Linked DNA regions of Coturnix japonica. The protein of the gene in region 2 binds, or shares a complex with, the protein of the main gene of each other region. Links are inferred from orthologs where the notes say so. Each region holds a gene or a part of one and is shown on either strand. Other genes may lie near its edges.

The links.
Region 1: TAF1C (region 2) and POLR2H share a complex: the UniProt entries of both Homo sapiens proteins name them as parts of the pol I pre-initiation complex. The link is inferred for Coturnix japonica from reciprocal best matches to the Homo sapiens genes TAF1C and POLR2H.

Annotation. Positions count from the first base shown.
Region 1 is NC_029524.1:13,963,041-13,966,506, forward strand, and holds POLR2H (DNA-directed RNA polymerases I, II, and III subunit RPABC3), read right to left. Parts: upstream 2,064-3,466; 5' UTR 2,000-2,063; coding exon 1,927-1,999; intron 1,818-1,926; coding exon 1,734-1,817; intron 1,657-1,733; coding exon 1,563-1,656; intron 1,438-1,562; coding exon 1,354-1,437; intron 1,238-1,353; coding exon 1,120-1,237; 3' UTR 719-1,119; downstream 1-718. Other genes in the region: THPO (thrombopoietin), read left to right, coding at 1-35. UniProt on the Homo sapiens protein: DNA-dependent RNA polymerase catalyzes the transcription of DNA into RNA using the four ribonucleoside triphosphates as substrates.
Region 2 is NC_029547.1:8,327,381-8,331,619, reverse strand, and holds the start of TAF1C (TATA box-binding protein-associated factor RNA polymerase I subunit C), read right to left. Parts: upstream 3,051-4,239; 5' UTR 2,959-3,050; coding exon 2,827-2,958; intron 2,453-2,826; coding exon 2,359-2,452; intron 2,200-2,358; coding exon 2,093-2,199; intron 2,007-2,092; coding exon 1,911-2,006; intron 1,828-1,910; coding exon 1,754-1,827; intron 1,686-1,753; coding exon 1,438-1,685; intron 1,361-1,437; coding exon 1,250-1,360; intron 1,163-1,249; coding exon 1,039-1,162; intron 959-1,038; coding exon 887-958; intron 798-886; coding exon 662-797; intron 574-661; coding exon 445-573; intron 342-444; coding exon 167-341; intron 74-166; coding exon 1-73. Other genes in the region: TMEM8B (transmembrane protein 8B), read left to right, coding at 3,206-3,386. UniProt on the Homo sapiens protein: Component of the transcription factor SL1/TIF-IB complex, which is involved in the assembly of the PIC (pre-initiation complex) during RNA polymerase I-dependent transcription.

The DNA.
Region 1 (3,466 bases), on a different chromosome or scaffold from region 2:
TCTTCCACAACCTGGCTAAGGACTCGTGTGACTGAGATCGGGGGGAAGCAGGGACCTCCAGTCCAGGGACTGATGAAGCTGTACACGGGATTTAACACTGATAAAAGGTCAGAGCAATCCCACAGGAGAAGGAGCCGTGCTCTGGATGCCCAGGAAGGTGCCACGGGGAAAGGGTTGGCTCCTTTTCCACAAGCCTTTGGCTATCACACGGCCCACAGAGGTCAAAAGCAGCCATACCTGTGCAGCACGAGGCACATGCCCTGCTCCTATCAGACTGTGAATGCTTTACAATTAAAGACCTATTTTTCTAAAGGATTGTTTGTGTCTTCCTGTTCCCCCTGCTGTAGCACTGGCCTAAGGAGCATACACCAGTCTCTGGGGGAGGCAATAGCTGGGGAACAAACGCTCCTGATTTTCCCAGTGTCCAGCTCCCTCCTGTGGTGGCTGCCATCTCTGCAGGGCAGGTGGGCTCAGCTGGGGATGTGAGATAATAATGCCCCTTGCCTTCCAGTATCCACCTGCCAATTTCACTGTGCTGAGCTCTGGGGTCACACAGCATCACTCAGACTAGGCCAAGCCCCTCCAGGAGCTGCAGCTTGAAAGCCAGTGCCCCTGATGTGGTACCTTTGCTGTCTGCTACCACAACATCCTCCATGAGCATCCCATCTTCATCTACCAACCGGCATTCTGGGAAGCCAACCTTGCCACAACAACCACATCTAGAAAACACATAGCAGTTTAATTAAGAAGCCACATCTGTCTCAGAACAGCTCCTTAGAAAATGATGCCCAGCCCTAGCACAGACAGGTGAGTGCCCCAGTCCAGCGGCCCCTGGTTAGAGCTGGGGCTAAGCCTGCTTTTGAAGTGCAGGAAGGTGAGATCAGCAGGCAGGGCCACAGAGCACCCACGGTCTCCACTGAGAATGAGGCATCAGCCCCTGCACAGAAGGGAAACAGTCAGAAAAGACTGGGATGACAAAGGGGGAAAGTCCCCTCCTCCACCACCACTGGAGGGACTGGGCAGCAAAGGTGCTGGGGCAGGATTTGGGGTGATGGTGTCCTTTCTGCTCTCCAACAGAATGTCTCTGGGGGCAGGCAGCCCTCTGAGGTGCATCATCTCCTAGAAGGCCAACTTCTTCATCAGCAGGTAAACTCTGGAGTCCACTTCAAACCCATGCAGATTGTTTGCGTCTCCCTGAAGGCGCATGAGCAGCCCCCCATAGGACACATAAGCAGAGCTGGGGCAGGAGGAGAGGAGCAGTGAGAGCAGGGAAACCCATAGGAGACCCAGTCAAGATAACGCTGCCTCCCCACCACCCTCAGGCAACGCGTCCCCTTCTCAACAGCCACTCACAGGCGTGTGGCTGCCTCTGTGGACGTCTCATCCCCCTCAATCCTGTACACCTTGCCATACATCACGTACTCAAACTGGTCCGCCCTGCAATGACATGAGGGGAGCTGAGAGAAGCGTCAGACCATCCTTCCCACATCCCCTAACAGAGCATCCTCTGCGAGGAGGCCCCTTGTAGGAGGGGTCTCTCCCACCACTGCGAGCCACGTTACCTGGAGGGCCGGTCATCAGTGGGGTTGTACTCCCCATCATCCAACGTCCCATCCTCATACAGGGTGCTGGCAATGACCAGACGGAACTTGTCCCCTGGGAGGCGATAACAAAGCAGCGCTCAGAGCGCACAGCCGGAGCTGCCCCCCCCCCCCTCCCCGCCCGTCCCGTACCGAGATCCACGGGGTAGATCTGGATGTTGACGTCCAGGATCAGATCCATCTTGAACGACTCGCTCTCGCAGTGCAGCCGGGACACTGAGCGGGCCGGGACGGGGCGTCAACGGGAAGGGCCCGCCGCACCCGGCCCGGCCCTCGGAGCCCCGGGTGGGAGGAAGGGGCGGGGAGCGGGGGGGTCGTATCTCACCACGGTCGAACTTCTTCCCCTCGGGGTCGATGTCCTTCACATCGAAGATGTCCTCGAACAGAATGCCGGCCATGGCGGCGCCCCTTCGCTCCCGCGCCGGCTCCCGCTGCGGCGCACGGTGATGACGTGTTTCCACATCCGGAAACCTCATTCGTGGTGGGCGGGCAGAGGTGCCCGCGCGGTCCTAGCGCCGCCGGCAGCGCCCCCTGCAGGCTGGGGGGGCGCACTGCAGCGCAGGGGGCGGTAGGGGGCGCTGCGCGGCCGCGGATCGAACCGCGTGGGTCGGGGCAGATCCACGGCGGGACGGAGCTCGGAGCTGGGCGGGGGGCAGCAGCGTCACCCCACAGCCCACCCGTGTCACACCCCACAGCGTCACCTTCCCTCCGTGTCACATCCCCGGTGACACCCAGCTCCTACCGCCAGCCCCCTCCCCAAAGGGCTCAATGCGGCCGGGCTGTGTGAGCGGAGGGATGCGCTGGTACAGAGGGACACGGAGGGACACGGAGGGACACGGAGGGACCCGGGTTGGCGGCCCCGCACCTCCGGGGTCGAGGAGCCGAGGTTGGGGTGGGCAGCCCCCACACTATAGCACCTGCCCGGTGCCGCCGTCTCCTCCTTATCTGGAGCCAAACAAGCCCATCCGGCACCTGGTGCCGCTCAGAGCACACAGCACCAGCCCTCAGCCCGCCCCCAACCTGCACGGATCCCACAGACCGTCCCCAGGTGCTCTGCAGCCCCCGGTGCGCCGGGATATATGAAGGGATTTTGGGGGGGGGGGGGGCACAGCTCTGCCTTGGTGCACCCCAAAGCATCCCAGCATACAGTAGGACACACCGGGGGTCCCTCCATGTGGGCTCTCCCCAGGCTGGGAGTCCCATTGCTCACAGTGCCGGGCTGTGTGTGGGTGGGGAGGTTTAGCCGTGGGGCTGTTATCTTTCACTGATAAATTATACAACATGAGCACGGCTTTGAACGGCGGCCAGGCCTCCATCCGGTGGGGCAGCATTGGGGGGCCAACACAGCCTCCAGTGCTCTCTGATGGGGGGGATGGTGATGGAGATGGGGCCGTGGCTTTGGAGTGAAGGGCTGATGGGGATGGGGTCTGCACACAGAGGCAGAGCAGGTGGCAGAGCCACGGCGGCACCTGGGTGGTTGGGCAGCCCCAAATCCTGCACCCTAAATCCCTGCCCTCTCCCCAAAGCCTGCCCGGCTCGGGGGTGGGAGCGGTGCTTCAGAGGCGGCCGCGGCCCCTCTTATCTGCGGGCACAAAGGAGCCGCGGCACCGCCGTTATGGAGCAAACAGACCTGGGGAGAAGCTGGCTGGCATCGGGCAATGGGGTGGCACCATCCCCATGTTGCGGTGCTATGGGGTGGCACCATCCCCATGTTGCGGTGCTATGGGGTGCAGCGCTGACATCCCCCCACTGAGCGGCCCCCCTAAGGCTGGGGTTGGGCAGGAAGAGAGCGAGCCAAAATTAAGCTGTTAATGAGTCTGTCTGTCACCAGGCTGCCAATTACCCATGTGGGTAAGGAGGAGATG
Region 2 (4,239 bases):
TGAGGTAGGCAGCTGGCAATGCTGTGTAGCCGCTGTGGTGGCCCTGCGAGCTGGCAGGCCATCTGGCTGCCCCCTGCAGTAAGACATGTCAACAATGAGCTGGTGAGGCAGCATGATCAGGATGTGGACATGAGGGGAATCTGCGTTCCCCTACCTGGTTTCTCACCTGTGTACTGCAGCAACAGCAGCTCCTGAGTATGAGAGGTGCCCAGCAGCACTTTATGACTCCTTCCAGACTCTCCCGGCACAACATCAGCGAACAGAGGGGGGAATTTCATCATGTGTGCCCATTTCAGCACAGGCACCAGCGGCAAACGCTCGTCCAGCAAGTACACGGCAAACTGAAAGGGGGCAAAACTCAGCAGGGTGCCCCCCACCTGCATCCAAACCAGATGCACGAGGTGGGTGGGGAGGTCTGGGGACACTGAGCCATGGAGGACTCACCTGGGTGGCAACGAGGTACTGGCAGGGGTGAGCCCTACCCAGGTACATGGGCAGTACCACGCGTTCACCCTTCTGGCACTTGGCTTCCTCACCCACCTTGAAGAAGTTGAAGTGGCATCTAGTGGGGGCCTGCAGTGGCATAACAGGGTGCTGTCAGCACCATGGGGCTGACATAGGTCACCCCACAGCCCACCCTGAACCCCGTTCTCATGCTCACCCGAGTATCCAGGCACAGGATGCCAGTGCGGTCAGCACAGCTCAGCACCCGCGGGTGAGCAGTGAAGTCACTCCAGCGCCAGGGTGAGTGGTCCCGGAAAAACAAGGTCTGGGGGTCATGGCGGAGCCGCTGCAGCCTGTAGGGAAAAGGACAGAGCTCTTCCTTGCTGTGGGGCACCCCTGCCTCCTGCAGCACCAAACACTGGGGATCAGAGCCCCAACTCACCCTGTCTCTATGTTCCATAGATAGACAGCTCCACTCTGCGTACAGACTGACAGCTCCCCAGGCAGGTGTGGGCTGTGGGGCAGAGACATGGCGTTACATTGGAAGGCTTGTAGCTGAGGACCTTCCCAGAGCTCTGTATTCCCACCACACACCTGACGGTGAGGCAGGAAGCTGGCACATCAGTGTGGATGACCTGCAGTGAGCTGGGGGCAGCCCCTGTCTTGCCTGACATCCTCCAGACACCACAGTAATAGTCAGAGCGAACGCCAACAAAGTCTAGTAGGAGACAGGAGAGAGGGCAGATGAGAGAGCAGGGATGCCACTATCTCTGTATGCAGTGCACATGTCCCAGGGCTTACTCACCCTGCCCATCCACCCGGGCAGCAGCTACTTGCCGGATGCGCCCGTTGAGCTCAAACTGCACTGGCAACCCCTGGGCCCGCGGCTGCTCCTCCAGCACCACATTCTGGAAATCTGGAGTGCAGGCTAAGGGCACTGCCACACAGTGCTCCCCTGTCCCAGAGTCCCCCAAGTATCATAGGAAAGGATACAGAGGTGGTTCATGGCCAACCCGCCAGGGTACACCAGGCATCCCATGTCACTGCTTGCATCCTGAGGGGGCAGCCAGGCTAGTGCTCCCCCTGTGGAACTGTCATCGAAGAGCAGTCTGGTCCACTGTAGCAGCAGCTCTTCATGCACGCAGTCGGCCAGCAGTCCCAGTGGCACCTCAAAGAGCCAGTCCCGGCACAGGTGAGAGAACAAGCGCAGGTGGTTGGCATACGGATGCCGAGGGCAGCCACTGTGAGGGGACAATCAGTGCCAGGTAGGTGTCGGAGCCCACCGCCCTCCCAACCCAGCAGCACTCACCGCCTGGCTTCCATATTGTTGATCTTCTTCACCATGGATGTCATACGGATGGTTGTGTCCTTGGCACTGCCTTTCTGCAGGGAGGAGAGAAGTGCCACTATGAACAGAAAGGAGGGGGTACACCAGTGCCCCCCTCAGCATCACCAAGGACACTGACCCCGAGGCTGTAGTCTCCCAGGTGGAAGTTGTTGTGCAGCAGCTGCCCCAGGGAGCTGAAGGCGTCCTCAGGATGATCCACAAAGAAGTGCCCTAGCTGCGTGGGGACAGCAGTGTGGGGCTGTGCAGTGATGTCATGGTGGAGCTCAGCCCTGTCTCCTCAGCAGCACCCAAGCCCTGTACCTGCTTGGCAAAGTCCAGCGCAGCCCCAGACTTCCCAGTCTGCAGCTTTCTATGCAGGACACCGTGGTAGAGAATATCCTGAGCGGTCACACTGGGGACCGAGCAGCCTGTGAGGGGGCAGGGGGCGGCGGGGGGGGGGGGGGGGGGGGGGGGGGGGGGGGGGGGGGGGGGGGGGGGGGGGGGGGGGGGGGGGGGGCTGCCGAGTGCGTCCCAGCACCAGGTGGCAGCCCCATTCTCAGCCCCCCCTGTGCCCCCTCAATCCTCACCCACGTTGGGCGGCAGCAGCGGCACCGCCGCGGGCTCAGCCGGCGTCCAGCTCTCCCCCTCGTGGCTGCGGAGGGGCACGAACGGCGGCAGCACCTGCAGGGACAGCGGGGAATGGAGGTGAGGGTCAGTGCCCCCTCAGTACCCTCAGAGCCCCCTCAGTACCCTCAGAGCCCCCTCAGTGCCCACAGAGCCCCCTCAGTGCCCACAGAGCCCCCTCAGTGCCCACAGAGCCCCCTCAGTGCCCTCAGAGCCACCTCAGTACCCTCAGAGCCCCCTCAGTGCCCTCAGAGCCCCCTCAGTGCCCACAGAGCCCCCTCAGTGCCCACAGAGCCTCCTCAGAGCCCCCTCAGTGCCCTCAGAGCCCCCTCAGTGCCCTCAGAGCCCCCTCAGTGCCCTCAATACCCTCACTGCCCCCTCACTCATTGCCCCCCAGGCCTCCCCCATCCCGTTCCCCCGTTACTCCTCACCTGCCGCCGTCCAGGCCCGGCCTGCAGCACCTCTTCCCGCTCCCCCCATCCAGCGGCCGGAGCCGGACGCCCCTCGTCCCTGGTGGGGCCGGATCCGAAGTAAGAAGGGAAGAGCACGCCCGGGAACTCCATGGGCGGTACCGGGGGCGGTAATGGTGAGCCCGGTACCGGATCCGGACCGGAAGTGCTGCGCACGCGGTCCCGACGCGGTAGGAAGTTGGATGACCGGGAAGGGCGAGGCCTAGAGTGCGACAGCGCCCCCTAGCGTGTGGGAGGTATCATGGCGAGCAGAAAGCGGGGCCGCGCCGGTTGTGAGTGACAAGCAGAACCGCCAATAGGAAAATTGGGGAGGGAGAAAGGGGGCGGGACGGATGACGTCATGGTCGCCCCTGCGCGGCGGGGCTGCTGGAGCCGCGCGCCCCTCGGCAGCCGGCGCGGTGGGATGGGGCGGCGGGGCGGCGGGCGGGGGCGGCCGCTCACACCGATACCCCTCCTCCGCCTGCCCCTGCTGCTCCTGCCCCTCCTCCTCCTCCTCCTCCTATGGCCGCCGCCGCCCGCCGGTGAGTGTCGAGGGGCCGAGGGGGTCGGGGAGCTGAGCGCTGCGTGGGGGATGGGGGTGAGGAAGGGGGGAGGTGTGTGCTTGTATTAATGGGGTGAGGATGGAGCGCAGACCGTCCGCAGCATCTGCCCGCCGTGGGATGACAGTGTGTGTGATGGGGTGCGGGATGTGTGTGCAGCGAGATGTGGGGTCAGTGTGCAGCAGGGCACGTTGATGTGTGGGGTACCCCACATTACACCATGCAACTGAGTATAGGGTGCGTGGGCAGTGGGGCAGGACGTGTGAGCACAATGGGGCATATTCATGTGTGATGGGAGATGGCAGTGGGGTGTTGGCATAATGGGACATGGAGATGTGTGTTCGGTGGTTATGCTTGACAATAAGCAGGCTGTGGGGCACGCGTGCAATGTGGTACATAGGGAGGGCTCAGAGGTGTGCGTGCTGGAGGGACACAGGTGGTGTAAGTGCACAGGGACACCCAGAGAGAGGGGTCAGACTCATGGTCAGGGGTTACGGGGATCTGCAATTGCAGCGTGTCACCTGGACAGAGGGCTGTGAAGTGGGGCAGCAGGGATGCATGCAGTGCGGGGGATGTGTGTGCAGTGAGGATGAGTGGGGGGACACTGGAGTGAATACGTGATGAAATGAGTGTGCTGTCGGGCTCTGGAGCTGCCTTCATTTGGGGGCTGCGGAGGGGTATGCGGTGTTGTGTATGGGGGATCACGGAGGAAGGGGGCCGAGCTGTGGAGTAGAAGCGCTATGGGGCCCTATGGGGCGGCTGGGGGAGCTGTCCGTGGTCCTGAGCCCGACATCAGGTGAGCTGTCCGTGGTACTGACCCTTCTGGGAGAGGAGG